Arabidopsis thaliana: one gene and its partner. The protein of the gene in region 1 interacts with the protein of each later gene in a pairwise test. Each region holds a gene or a part of one and is shown on either strand. Other genes may lie near its edges.

Region 1 (7,456 bases):
GTTTGCAGTAAGTGTCGAGAAACTTGCGGAATTTGGATCGTTTCTGAGATGAGGTTTTGCTTTTTTGAATCCAGTTAAAGAGAGATACCAGTACGCTGAATTTGATCTCCTCCGTCATCTTACTTTGCCGGAATTATAGATTCTTCCGGAGAAGATGGTTAATCAGGGAAATAGTGACGGAGAATCACTGAGCAGCGGCGTGAATTGCTTGCCGGAGAAGGAAGTCGCGTTTGAAAAGTTGCACGGCCGGTTTTGGTAAGACCTGCCAAGTTACAGTGACTCGGTCTTCTCTCCCAGTAACTATTTATTCTATATTACACATTTGTCCTGTAACTTAATTAATCAATCAATTCAGTCCAATGTGTACTATATTAATTTAGAAAATCGTCAAAGTGGATTTATGGGCTACAATTTTTTTTTGGGCTGCAGTTTACATTTTTAGTAGTATTGACAAAATTATGAGATCATATCACACAAGTGACAAACTAGGCCCAAAAGCAGTTTAAATACGAAATATATTGGCTTTGAGGGAGGTAAAATTATAAATTATGGTTCAGAATTACAGCTTTTGAAATGAATAAGCAAACAGTTCTAACCCAAATATCATTACAAGGTTGAATTCGCCTCTTTTCAGAAAGTTGATCCATTGTAACCGAAGAAAGGTCGCTGCCAAAGAAAAGCAAAACAAAGAATTTAACTAACATTCTATTCATTGATCAAGTTTATAAGAACTAAAGAACATCGTGCTTTCATCTAAGTGTGTATCCATATATTAATTTATATAGCCCATCATCAGCATCTAGCTTTAATCTAAATCAGCATTCTATATATAAGTTCTTGAGAATGAGATCTTTCTTATGCAAAGCTTTGAATTTGAAGCAAAAGGGGACTTACCGGAGAATCGTAGAATTTGATATAAAAGCGAGAGCTGTCTATGGAGAGCTTAATTTGGAGAATCTCAGATATCGTCTCGCTAAGCTTCCCGTTTACGCCAGGTCCTAATCCCCCAATAGATATCAATTCTCCATATGCAGCAGGTTCCTCGGTACCGGCAAATGCAATGGGCACTCCACTGTTAAGCAGTATCATCACATACTGAAAACAAAGAAGAAAACAGACGTAGCCCACAAGTTAAGACCACAACACAAGCTTAAGAATCCTTTAGTGATATTGTCAACATACTGTATTATTGGTTTCCACAAAGTTCCATGAATTAGTAAATTGGTAATCTAAAGGGAACTCTCAAGAGTTAAGTTATGAGGAATTGCAATTCAGAGAGGAATTCCATCGAACACTTCATGTGCATAATACAACCAACGTCATGAACCTTATCAACAAAAGGAAATTTCTATTCTACTCTGCTTTCATGTAATCAAAACACTAAACAGGAACAAAATTTGAAGTTTTAATTTATGAATTAGCGTAGAAATGGCCGAAACAGAGGGTTAGAGTTGGTTACGGATTCAGGTTTGCCGATGATTTTAGCGACGGCCTTAGTGGCGTCCTTGAGGATGTCTGAGCAAGTGACGGCGTCGACTGGTATGTTAGTGAAGAGATTCAAAGTGGGCATCTTTTTGAAGTTTCTCCTTTTCCCGACAAAACCAAAACCAGTGTCTTTCAGTTTGGATATGGAAGTTGGGATAACGGTAAGAGCAGAACCAAAACCAGTGGCTTACCAGTTCATTTACTTTTATCTTTAAAATTGAAATTAAAAATCGATATAAAATTGGGCAATATAAAGTTATCAAACCGGAATCCCATGGGCCTACAATGCAAATTTCAGCCCAAATGTAAAATATCAATTTTATTTTTTTTACATTTTGGAGGGGACCAATAGAGAGTTATGTTTTTCCTAATTTCGATTTTTTATTTTATTTTGGAATGAGCATGGAGAATCATGCAATCGCATAACTCTTTCACTTTTGTCTTTCCATGCTTATGATAAGCTTTTAACGTTTTTCGGATCCAATGAATGAGTAAGGAACGAGAGAATAAGTGACTATCTAGATAACCATAAGAAAAGAATTTATGATTTCTTTCTAATGACAATTGGCTTGAATTAGTATTAGCATCACTTATACTCGAACAATCAAAATCGGCTTAAAGACAATTGTTGTATAAGCAATCACAATATGTAAGCCCACACTAGCTAAATCCCATTTTCTAAATACTACCAATATTACTAAAACTGTGTTTTTCATTTTTTTTATTTTTTTGTTATTTATGAATCCTGACTCCTGACCTCAAAATTGTATGTGTATATAATGATTTGTATCATAGTATCTTTATTTCATATTTCATTTATTGAAACATAAGACATTAAGTCACAATAAAGTGTATTATAGATTTGTCCGTACATACTCGAAGTATGTTTTTTTTTTTTTCTTACTCTCAATCTATCAATCTAACATTTATCTTTTGAATTGTCTATATTTATCTAGTTAGTTACTTGTCTTATTTGTTTGTTTTCCTTCTTTGGATATCAACAGTTTATCATAAGCATGGAAGGCAATCTATGAAAGAGTTGTGCTATTGCATTATTACCCATGCTGATAATAAAAAAAAAATTAGAATTTGAAATATAGAGCAAGACATAGATAGTTTTAATGGTCCCCTCCAATCTGTAAGAGAAGAAATAGTTCACTTGTTGTTTGTAACTATTTGGGTTACTTACTCTTGAGCCATGACCCATTTGATAAAAATCTATAAGTTCACATTTTCAGATCTGCCTAGTCTCATGTAGATTTTTTTCTTAGCTATAAGTGTTTTCATTTTACTTGGTTTTTCAATATCCAAATGAATGGTTAAATAGGGTTTTATAAGATGAGATATGTTTTCTGTAGAGTTGTTTTTCTTTTTGCTGCCTACAACATGTATTTCATTTTTGTGTATCATCTATGATATATATTCTCGTGTGGTTTATGTTAACTTATAGTATAAGAACAAAAAATGGTAAGACCCATTAGATGTGGCCGAAATAACTACATGGTAAGATAATTGTAAACAAGTTGTCTACAATGTCTGATTGTACAAATGAAATATTTTTGAATTTTATAGGACAGTCAGAATTATGGTATTCGAGGGTTTTAAGTTTTAACATAGCCGCATTCTTTCTAATTACGTATAAAGGTCATCAAGCTGTGAATTATAAACACTGAAAACGACAGCTGAGATATTCTTCAAAATCATTTTTTCTTTTATTTCAACAATTTCTTCTTCTACTATATATAAACAAATAAATGTCACTTTTTTCATTCTTCGTGTTAGTCATGTTATCTAATCCATAATCCTTTTAAAATCCACATAAATAAATACTCAAAATACGACTCACAACAGGGGAGCCACATAGTTTTATCTCTGTAGTCACATATTTTTATCTCTTTAGTCACAGAGTTTTATCTATTTAGTTTTATCTCTCCTTAATGTCCTTGACGTAGCAGTATCCGGGTATAAAGTACATCAATCACACATGCTGCAACGATTGAAATTATTAATGTACTTTTATCCAACAAAACTTTTACGGGAAAATGGTAAAGAATTAGTAAAGAAATGGAAGAGAGGTCACATGTTGACATAAGAATAACATAAGAACAAAACTTACTTTGGAGCAGTGCCATAACAAGGTTTATCCTGTTTTTTCTTGAGGTTCAAATTCCCTCCAGCACAACTTCTTTAGATAAGAAAAATTCTCTACATTTCAAAGTTCTACGAAGATTTTTTTTTGTCTACCGACTTTTCTTGCAAGTTCCTTTTTAATTTAATTTATTTGGGTTTATTTCGTTTTAAGTATATGTAATCACAATGTTTTAATACAATTTCAATTTTGATATAGACGGATGACTCGTGGGTATCATATCTCATATAATGGAATATCTAACATAAAATAAACAAACATATCTAAATAGAAAATCAGATATCTAACCAGGAGTCATTGAACCTAATGAGGTAAACGTAGGTTTAGCTTTCGCCACAAATTACTTCAAATGATCCCAAAAAGGTTCCAATCATTTTTTCTCTCTCACATACACAAATCCACTAGCCCACCACTTTTCTCTTTCCACACTTTTGTTTTTAAACTAAATTAATTATTATTTAATAACTATATTGTAAATACGACAATTTTGTAAGCTTGCTTCTACTAATATAGCCAATTAGCTATAGATATTATATTACGGCCGTTACTTTTCTAATGTTTCTTTTGCAGAAACGTTTGAAAGTTTAACATAAAACTAACCTTGAAAAAGTAAGTCAATGAAAGAAATAAATTTTCAATTATCATGTCTATATATATATCCAAAAAATTATCTAAAATATAGATAAGAAAGTATCAATTTATGCTAATATTTTTTTCCCAAATATGCTAAATTAGTAAATTTGAAAAAAAAAAAAAATCTTACTAATAAAGGGAAATTAGTAAAATAATAAAGTCGGTTTTTTAAGAACACGTGAAAACGTCTCCGACCAGGCGACCATAATCAGTTAATTGAGAAAGCACCACGTCATCAAAGAAATCTAGTAGAGCCAATGGGTATGTGCCACGTCAATGGATAAGGTGACCTTTCCTCGTTTTCTCTTTAAGATCCCAAAAAGATTTTGCAGATTTGGATGATGATGATGTGGTTTTTACATCTTTTTAGAAAATAATCCAAAAACAGAATCACATTTCCCTCCAGTCAAAAAGGATCATTAATGACTATTACTCACTAAACAACCTGGATTAAACTCTTGAGCATCTTTTCTTGGTTAAACTTTATTCAAGAAGAACAGAAATCGGATATCACAACCAAATCAATAAATTAAAACTGAGAAATCTTATTAAAACTATTACTATTATCAAAAATATATATCAAATTTTAAATAAAATCTTCTACAAAACCTGTAAAAAAATATAACTTCGAATTCTATTTAAAATCTAGATATCATAAACTAAAATATAAACCAATATATGGCTTCACTTCTAGCTACAATTAATCAGGGTCGGCTCAAAATAATAAAGGACCCAGAGCTGAAAAAAAAATTAGTTCTCATTTCCTATGTTTTGTTATGTAAATCTTTTTTTTGGATCGTAATTGTATTAGATTTACTTCAAAAAAAAGAGAAATTTTGGGTTGACTCTGTGCCTCGCTCCTCCGGCACATGTGTAGAGCCGGACCTGCAATTAATAGAAACAAAAATTAAACTAATATATGGTGACTCTAAATTGAAACTAAAACTAATAGTGGATAAATTTGTTTAACTCTATACTAGTTTAAAGAGCTGAAATTAAATATTGTGAATGGTAGAACTCGATTTTTGGTATCAACTAAGAAGAAAAATCCTCAACCTCAACTAATATAATACTGCCACAGGCTGGATTAGACAATTGATCGGCGCTACATCATTACTTACCACTTAATCGATGATGTGATTAATATTTTTCAATCATGAGTAATTTCGATAAATCACACTCAAAATATTTATCCCCCTTTCAAATTAATGACTGATCGCTGTTATATTACTTACTCACCACAAGATCGATATGCAAAATAATATCTTAAATTTTTGGGTAAAAATTATTGTGTAACAAGTGGATAATATCAATAAATCAATACATAAAAGATTTACTCAATTTGAATTAATGACTTACTGTCGTTATATTAATGTAATACATAAAAATTTAACTTTAAGAATGAACGATCGTCGCTACATTACATTATTACCAAATCGTCACAAAATTAATATTTTATATTTTGAGTAAATGTTAATGAACAAATAAATTTGTTAAATCAACACATAACAAATTTAATTCAATCGTATTATGACCGATCGTTGCCACAATCATATCGCTTTATTATAGGTTTAACAATTGATTTTTCATTATTTTGTTTTCAATCTCCAAATCATTTCTCAATAACTCTCAAACATTGTTTAAAGCTTTTTTTCTTAATTAACATTATAACAAAAAAATAAATAGAGAAATTTACTTTGATTCAAACACCAGTCATTGTAGATTAGCCAAGAGTTTTCAGTAACAAAATTTACCTTATAAACCTTTTGAATGGCTATTTCTGAAATGGAATAGAAATCTTTAGTCGTGGAAGTATCTCTATCCATAAGAAAACTCGTTTTACAAAGTAATTTTAAATCAATACAAAAAGTGAAAAAATCCACTGGTGGACCCCATTCATTCCAGAATTGCCGATTACGAGCTATCTTGTCCCTTCTTCACCATTCGCTCACTCTCTCTCTCTCTCTCTCGTCTTCTTCTTCCCACCACTCTCTCTGTTTCTCCACAACTTCTCTTCTCAAAGTTAAAATTACCCCTAAACCAAAAAAAAAAAAAACGCTCTTCACTATTTATTTACTAAACTCTCCTTTGTTTGTTACTAAGCTCTCACTAAAACCCTAATCTTTCTCCTCTTATATATCTCGTGACTCTTCTTTCTCCTCCAATCTCTCTCTCCCTCTTCACAAACCAATTAGCTTCTTTCTGTAAAACCTCACTCGTTGGCCAATTCTTTTGGTTTTCATACACATAAATCTCAGATTCCAAATGGGTTTTCTTAGCTCTTTCTTTCAAATGATGAACATTTGTTAGCAGAATCTTCCTCTTTCCCTAAAGTTTTGATCTTTTTTTCCCCCTTCAATTTTGTATTTTCTCACCAAATAAAAAAAGGTTTCTTCAGTGGGTTTTAAGGGTTTATTATTATCTTAAAATTAAACACAATTCTTTAATCAAAAGGCAAAAATCTTAATTTCATCACTCTCTTCTCACTCACAAAAGTTCTTACAATCTTCAAAGTTTTGGTCTTGTTTCTTTTCCGATTTCACCGGACAAAAAAAATGTCGGCGTGTTTAAGCAGCGGAGGAGGAGGAGCAGCAGCATATAGTTTCGAGTTAGAAAAAGTGAAATCACCACCACCATCATCCTCAACAACAACAACAAGAGCTACTTCACCATCATCAACAATCTCCGAATCATCAAATTCACCACTCGCAATCTCAACGAGAAAGCCAAGAACACAACGCAAAAGACCAAACCAGACTTACAACGAAGCAGCTACTCTTCTCTCTACTGCTTATCCCAACATCTTCTCCTCAAACTTGTCCTCTAAGCAAAAAACTCACTCTTCATCAAACTCTCACTTCTACGGGCCATTGCTTAGTGACAACGACGACGCTTCTGATTTGCTTCTTCCTTATGAATCAATCGAAGAACCTGATTTTCTGTTTCATCCAACGATTCAAACGAAAACAGAGTTTTTCTCAGACCAGAAGGAAGTTAACTCCGGTGGAGATTGCTACGGTGGTGAAATCGAAAAGTTTGATTTCTCCGACGAATTCGATGCTGAATCGATTCTCGATGAGGATATTGAAGAAGGAATCGATAGTATAATGGGGACTGTGGTGGAATCGAATTCAAATTCGGGGATTTATGAATCTAGGGTTCCGGGAATGATCAATCGCGGTGGAAGAA
Region 2 (8,250 bases), on another chromosome or scaffold:
GCCTTTGTGGAGTTTGCTGATGAGATGCAGTCGACGGTCGCAATGCAGGGACTTCAAGGTTTCAAGATTCAGCAAAACCAGATGCTCATCACGTATGCCAAGAAATAGACAATTTCGTTTTATTTGTGTTTCGATGAGATATGTTTGTATCTGTCAATGTTACTTCTTCCATGGTTTGCGCAAGAAGGAAACTTGTCTTTCTTGTGTGTTTGTTGTAGAATTGCTTAGAATATTACACAATCATCTAACTTACAATTTTTTCATCCAGACAATAAGCGTCTCGATTTGGTGTTTGTCTATCTAATATTTCGTCACCTTCTTCCACTTATGGATAAGCCTCTTCTTCCATATTTGATCAGATAACTGAAGACCTTTAATTTGACTGATTAAACGAAACTATAATGAATTAAAGTAAAAAACTCGCAAAGTGAACTTTAAACTAAAGGTTTATGGATGATTGGTTTGTTCTTTTTTATTTACGAATTCTTGGATATCTAATAAAAGAGAAACAAGAAGCAATCATTATTTGATGTTGGATTGGTGAAAGAAAAGTCTTTGTAGTGTAGCTGTTTTTCTTTGTTGCTGATGAGGTCAGCGATTATTAGGTCCAAAACTCGTGCGTCAAGAGAATTGAGTGAGCTCTCTCCTTTTTTTGAAATATTGGGCGAAGGACACTCCTCCATGCATTTAAGTTATCAAAAGCATTAATTAGACGATGGTTCAATAAATGAGTGAGCATTTAGTGGGAAACACGAGTGTGATACGGACACGTAAAAGCATTAATGCATGTGTTTATAGATTTGGTGATGACTTCATTGTCTGACTCTGTCTCCTCTTTTTACAAGACAAAAGATTTGTTGCTGATTCATCTCTGCCTCTCTGGTCTGTGTGACACACACTGCCTAATTAGTGTTATTCTGTATCTCAGCTCTTGCTTACTAGCTTATCTTAGTACTTAGTAGTAAAACATTAATGGGTCATTATGTATATGTCCAATGAATCACCACTTTAAACATTAATGGATCACTTGCTAGCATCTTCAATTACTATATAACAATTTAACTAGCTATAGTAAGACCATTAATCTAGAGATCATATTTACCTATCCTGAGTCCATGTGTGGACTGAGGAGGATTATACATTAATCATAGACCATATATATAATATACACAATCAACTAATGAAAGAGGGAGGAATGGTATCAACATAGGGACCTTTTTTTTTTCCATGTTAGAGAAAGTTAGGACAACACGCAAAGCCCTACGTGCACTCTTTCATTATTCCTCTCTTCTTTTGCCCCCAACAGTCTTTGACGACCCACCTTGCCCTTTTGACCCTTCTCTCTCACGCACATGTATGTTATTAATTCAAATGGTTCTTTTATGCTTCGGCATTTATCATCATGATATACATACATATCGATCGATAGAGGAAAAAAAAAAATCATTTATGTAGTAGAAAATTTACAGATATATATATATATATATATATATCGTATAATGTATATCAATATTTGAATTTGAAGAGTTTCAATATAAACTGAAACAAAGTTAAGTGTAGATTATTATTAGTGAGGAACTAGTGGATATCCAGTTTATTTTGGTATATACCGGTAATTCATTCTAATGAAGTGAAAGAATATGGATACTGTATTTTTTTACCATGCCATAGAGTAGATGCTAGCTAAAGATTAGTCGTAAGAGAGGTCTAAGGTCTTGCTTGTCAACGCGTGACCGGCTTCATAGGATCCTAGCAATAAGACAATATGGTACGCCTAGCAACCTAGCACTTATATATGTAGAGTTTGTGAAATTTAGGGCAGACAAGCCCCCACACTAAAAAAACAGTAATATGGAATAAAAAAAAGCTTTCAAAACTTAGCAGTTATTAGACAAGGTATTGTTTGGCCCTAGCTAGCGATCGTTTAGCTCTCTTCACTCTCTCACTTTTTTAGTTCAACCCTTCTTTTGCGTGAGATGCCATCATGGCATGGTATGGTTCTTTTGCCTTACGTAAAACACACTCACGCCAGCACACACACACACACACATAACATATACGGATGTGCGTGTGAGCTAGTCTTCCATTAATGCAATCTTTGGGCCTATATATACAAACCTTTCCATAACCAAAGTTCTCATACTACAAACGCCCCTCATGTGCTTGGAAATGCGGGTGAGAATCTCCATGTTGGAGAAGCAGGGCACGTGCAAACCAACAAACACGAAATCCGTCTCATTTGCTTATTTGCACGTACTTAACTTCTCCAACATGAGCTCTTCACCCATTGATGTTATATATCCCTTAAACCTTATTGATAATGTGTTTTTCGTTGTTCTTGACTAGCTCTTCGTTGTTTGTGTGTATATGTGTGTTAAATCATTTGTGTTCGACGGTTGATTAAATCTTTATAGTTCTCATATATGTAAGTGTTGCTTTGGTTATTTTGAACCTTATTGTGTGCTGACCAAAATGTAGCGTTTCTAGATGGGATTGACGGTGCACAATGCACATGAAACTAAAAGGGTAATTTCAAGCTCTGTCTTCGCCATATATAGTTCTCATTGAGCTCTTTGGCTTGCATTAATTACGAGAGTGTTTTCGAACTTGTGGTTGTATACTTCACTGCATGGACCGTTATTCGTTTCAAATTACCTACAGAGTTATACATTTAGCTTTTGTGATGGTTTTTGCAGCATATGTAACGCATTGATCAGAGGTTCATATACACAAAATGGAACGAATATATGGAGAGTCCCATGATATGTAAGATCGAATTAATCACTTGTTTGAAGATCAGAAACTGTACTTTAGCTACTTTAATCTCTAATTTTGTCATTTTCAATTTTTATTCTGGTTTTACAATAATGTTAGTTTTATCTTCATTTTTATAAATCTTTTTTTATATGTGTAAAAATGGCAAAATGATAAAACATAGGAAACTTATAATTGAGACCTTTATGATTTTAAATAAATTTATTATTCAAAAATTTTAATTTCAAATTTTATATTAATTGACAAAATATATTTCAATAAAACTGTTCAGAACTATAATAGGATTTAAAAATGTTAAGAAAATTCGTATTTTTTTCCTTCATTAGTAGTGTTTATAATAGAAAAAAATCAATCAATATTTCTAAAGTTGAAAATAAAATAACAGTGCTACGATATATTTTAAATACATTTTATTAAAATATTTGATCTAAACAGAAGAAATTGTGTGGGGAAAATCGACGAGAGCTTATCAATTCATCTCACACTCTTCTTCACTCTCTTCTCTCTACACACACACACACACACACACACAAAATGGATTCTTCGAATGTTGAAGAAAACCTAAACCCAGAAACAAAATCCGCAGAAGAACAAAACCCACTTGCCATTTTCCATTCTTCTCTACCAATCGCATCTCTTTCTCTGACCTTGTTCCCATCCTCGACTCAATTTCTCAAATTGTTTGCTCATCATCCAAACAAGGTTAAGATCCCTACGCAGGCTTCTTCTCTCACTCATCTCTCTCTTTCTTCTGTCTCTCCTTTTCCTTCTTCCAGAATCTCTTTCAAATCCACCATCGCTGCTAACCCTCTTCAATCCCCTCTCTCCATCGTCCCTCGTCGTCCCGTTGATCCTTCCTCCGCCGCCGCTCTCCGCCGTGCTGCTGTCGTCTGGTTCCGCAATGACCTCCGTGTCCACGACAACGAGTGTCTCAACTCCGCCAACGACGAGTGCGTCTCCGTTTTGCCCGTTTACTGCTTCGACCCTAGAGATTACGGCAAGTCCTCTTCCGGCTTCGACAAAACGGGGCCTTTTCGTGCCCAGTTTCTGATTGAGTCCGTTTCGGAGCTCCGGAAGAATCTCCAAGCCAGAGGGTCGAATCTAGTTGTCCGTGTCGGGAAACCTGAAGCTGTTTTGGTGGAATTGGCTAAGGAGATTGGAGCTGACGCGGTTTATGCTCACAGAGAAGTGTCTCACGACGAGGTTAAAGCGGAAGGGAAGATAGAGACCGCGATGAAGGAGGAAGGCGTTGAAGTCAAGTATTTCTGGGGAAGCACTCTCTATCATTTGGATGATTTGCCCTTCAAAATTGAAGACTTGCCGTCAAATTACGGAGCTTTCAAGGATAAAGTCCAGAAATTGGAGATTAGGAAGACTATCGCAGCGCTTGATCAATTGAAAAGCTTGCCCTCTCGAGGAGACGTTGAGCTTGGCGATATTCCTTCTCTCCTGGATCTTGGCATTAGCCCCACTCCTAGGACTAGCCAGGTTTGAGTTCTTCATCTTTGCTTAGCTTGATTGATTCCTTTATCCATCTAGGTTTAGGCATTTAGAAAAGGTGGAAACTTGTGGGACTTATAATTCAAACTCTGCCAATTGGTTCCATTTCTATAGGAGAAGAGCTACTTACCCATAGAGTGATAGGGATAAGTACTATCAAGTGTTAATAGTAGTAGTGCTGTTTGAAGGTCCATGGATTCTTCTTAGGATCAATGAACGTTTCTCTTTAGGTCCAATATTCGTCTGCGGCTCTTACTGTCTTACACCTTCTCTTAGGAGTTAACATTTTGTTCTGCTCAGGAGGGGAAACCGACAATGGTTGGAGGAGAGACAGAGGCGTTGACTAGACTAAAGAGCTTTGCCGCGGATTGTCAGGCTCGGTTGAGCAAGGGAAACCAGAAAGGAGGCAACAACAGTGTCTTTGGTGCAAACTTCTCTTGCAAGATATCACCTTGGTTAGCCATGGGAAGCATCTCTCCTCGTTCCATGTTCGATGAGCTGAAGAAAACAATCTCCGCATCAACCACCTCCACAACTCCAAGGTAATGTCTCAGAAACGCAAAACACTTCAGGAAACTCTGGTGAACATAGTAAGTGTATGTGTCTAATTATCATTCTTTGAAATGATTTTCTCAGGAACGGACCGGGAGATACAGGACTCAACTGGTTAATGTATGAGTTGCTATGGAGGGATTTCTTCAGGTGAGCTCTTACTTTCTTAACTTGCCCCCTAGTAGAAATGTAGAATTTGTATTTTGTCTGATTCTCTCTTTGATGTGTGTTTAAACTTGGAACAGGTTTATAACCAAGAAATACAGCTCAGCGAAGACGCAGGTCGAGGCTGGTCCGGCTACAGCCTGTACCGGTGCCTTTGCTTAAACATTTGAAAACTTTCAGGTGACCGGAAAAGTTAGAAGCGACCTGTTTCTTTGCCCTACTCTGGTGTATGGTGGATTAATTTGCTATCCGGACAGGACTTTACTGCTCTCTTTTGAAACTTGAGTGTCAGGAGAATAAAATCTAAGCTTCTTTTTTTGGCTCAATCAAGTTGTCCGTTCCCTGTTCTAAACATTTCGGATACTCATTCCATAAAAAGTCTCTACAATTTGAGACGCTCTCCTTTGTGGTTAAGACTTGAGAATGTATCTTAGAAAATAACCGAAGTAGTTGTGTCTATGAATATTAAATTCAGGAATATTAAGATGTCACTAATATCAGAAGCAAGCAGCAACTAGAATATGCACTTCGTGGTAAATGGGCATTAGAAATTCTACAACACTTATTAAAGAACCGTACTAAACACTAGTTACTTGGATGAAAGTTACATATAAAAGTTTATATTAATCGACTAAGATTATTTGCTTGACTTTAGAGAAAGTTTGCATATATGTACCACAAATTGGTAACACTGCAAATAAAAAAACAAAAAAAACTGCAGGATAATGAAAATGTACTCCATATATGCACCTCCTAACTAGAGATGAAGCCTCCAAAATCATAGTCAATATGATTTATATTTGCAACACATATTTAGCCAACTGCCTTTGAACTTTGATAATTATATAAAACCCCCTTAACAAGTAAGAAAAACAAAAACTGAGACATGTGCAAGTAAGCTAAGACTTTTTCTTCTACTCATGGGGTTTTTCCTTTTGTTGCTTCTTCTATATGACGCCTGAAACTTTCAAAGAAGAAAGAACAACGAAGACGACCCAAAGCATCATGAAATAGGCAGAAGTAAGCCAAGCCCATAGCCTTGGACCTCCAAGCTCAGCTCCTATAATCAACCTTCTCAACACAAGCACCACGATACATCCCACTGATGTCGCAAAGAATATCAGAAGCGAAAAGCTTAATCCTTTAGCGTTTTCTATGTATAAAGGCTCTCTGTATGCAAAGTAGTTGTAGACTGTGTTTATCAGCCACGGAACTCCAATCCCCACATAGATGTTCACCGAGTTACTGCATAATTTATCACCAAAAAGATCATGAAAAGATCTTCAATGTTTGTAAAGGGTTTTGAGATTTTTACCTGCAGGTGATGTTTGCAATAGCTGAATCTGCGGTTAGTTGTCGCTCTGCAGCGATTTTACTTGCTACTAAGTCTGGCCATGAAGTTCCACTTGCGAGTGCTGTGAATGCTATCACATATGGGTTTATTCCTGCAAGATGAAAAGAGTTTCTAATGTTTTAGAGCTCAAATGTTTAATCTTATAACTTCAGTTTTTGAAAGCGGTGAGGGTGTGTACCAGTGACACAGCTTATAAGGTCAGTAAATCTTGTGACAACAAAGGCTACTCCACTGATGAAGAGGAGAGAGCAGATGAAAGCGATCCAACCGTGAGCAATGTTGCAGGGGGGCACAAATGCAAAAAGCAGTTTCCAAGGGGCGAGGAGTAAATGCCAGAAAGATTTCGCGATTCGAAGATAAATGCTATCCACTTTCTTTGATTCTGATGTTTCCAACTGTTTGATTACGAATAGGAAGAGAAACAAGTTAAGAAAGATGTGTTGATAATGATCAAAAGCCCAAAATAGGATATAGAAGAATCTAGAAAACACTTGGTAAGTTGAAGATTTTTACCGTTATTGCATCCACGAATTGATGTTTCCAAATGTCAAAAACAGTAGAATTCTTCGCCTTACCCTTCTTAGTCGCAGAATCGGGTGGAGTATCTGCCACAGTATGATAAGTGATCCCTGCAAAAGTGTTTGTTACAGGGAAAGTTTGATTTATAACAATATACTACCAGAGATAAATATGGGAATCACATAGATTTGGAAATAAGCAAATACGCTAAAACTGATCTTATATCAATAGAATAGACAGCCTAATCATACTTAGTACCTGTATCATTGTTAGCTGAATGAATAGAGAAGATATCAACAATGTTTCTGCTTCCCGATTCAACAGCATCTTGAGCAGCATCCGAATACACATCATGAACATCATTGTCATTGTCATCTTTGGATGTATCAATCTCCTCTGGAACCCACTCCTCTGGCCTATCACCTCTTGACCTGCAAGTATCAAATACAAACACAAAGATACAATCTTTAGTAGAAATCCATTTTGAAGGAACTAATATTATTGTCTGGAAAAGAAACCCACATTGGTAAAGACAAGTAAGGCCATCGCTTGTCTTGGGCGTACGCATGAACTAGAAGCAATCCGTATTGCAGTACTGTCAATAATGCCTCCACAAGTGTAATTACGTTTGGTGACCACACCTGTGAGACGTGAAAAGAAACAGATTTTTAGACCTTATCAGTATAGAGTATAGACTCAACAGAATCTGTTTAAACCGCTTTTCACAGTTACCTCGAGGATTATGTATAGCCAGATGTAAGCCCAAAAAGACCATACGAGCTCAACTAGCCAAACACCTAAGTCGGATATCTTTTTCAGTTCTCCAGCTTTTGGCACAACGACACAAACAGCGTGGATGGGGAAAAGATCAAATGCAGCTGAGCCAACAAGTGTTCCAGGACCAAGACCTATATGACAAAACATGATATAAGAATTCATGAACTTAAAAGTAAAAACTAGAGTTTTGGAAGGAAGAAAGGAACAACCACCAGACCTCCAGCATACCGCTCCCCCATATTCCGTATTGCATCGATGGTAGCCAAAGAAATCTGAGGGAAGCTAGTTCCAAACGCCAACAAACTGATGTCTGCAATAGTAAAGTTCCAAACTTTCTTGTATGTGATGACTTCAGCTTTAGTAATGGGATCAATTGTAACCACTTTACGGGAATGTTTCACGACATTCTCCATAGACTTGAAGAACCGTGCAGTGATGGCTGACAACCCAATAAAGCAGTAGGCAAGACCGAGAAAATATAACACACCCCTCAAACCATCTGACAAAGTGTTTTCTCCGGGGAATAGAAAGAAGTTTTCACATCTTAAATGCCCAAGAACCTTAGAAGATTCTTGCAACTCCTGGGTTTGATTAAGAATTGAGGCCAT

Evidence for each region. The genes of interacting proteins can lie anywhere in the genome.
Region 2: the proteins of AT5G57170 (region 1) and PHR2 interact in a two-hybrid assay, tested with the Arabidopsis thaliana proteins (one large-scale study listed by BioGRID).

Annotation. Positions count from the first base shown.
Region 1 is NC_003076.8:23,161,571-23,169,026, forward strand, and holds AT5G57170 (Tautomerase/MIF superfamily protein), read right to left. Parts: upstream 1,695-7,456; 5' UTR 1,571-1,694; coding exon 1,460-1,570; intron 1,096-1,459; coding exon 856-1,095; 3' UTR 667-855; coding exon of another isoform or gene 631-666; 3' UTR 501-630; downstream 1-500. Other genes in the region: ATLIG4 (DNA ligase IV), read right to left, coding at 1-118; CIA2 (chloroplast import apparatus 2), read left to right, coding at 6,823-7,456.
Region 2 is NC_003071.7:19,518,579-19,526,828, forward strand, and holds PHR2 (photolyase/blue-light receptor 2), read left to right. Parts: upstream 1-3,195; 5' UTR 3,196-3,309; coding exon 3,310-4,263; intron 4,264-4,575; coding exon 4,576-4,817; intron 4,818-4,911; coding exon 4,912-4,977; intron 4,978-5,072; coding exon 5,073-5,154; 3' UTR 5,155-5,517; downstream 5,518-8,250. Other genes in the region: spliceosomal protein U1A, read left to right, coding at 1-108; MHX (magnesium/proton exchanger), read right to left, coding at 5,940-6,237, 6,308-6,437, 6,525-6,741, 6,860-6,975, 7,124-7,296, 7,388-7,506, 7,598-7,773, 7,860-8,250.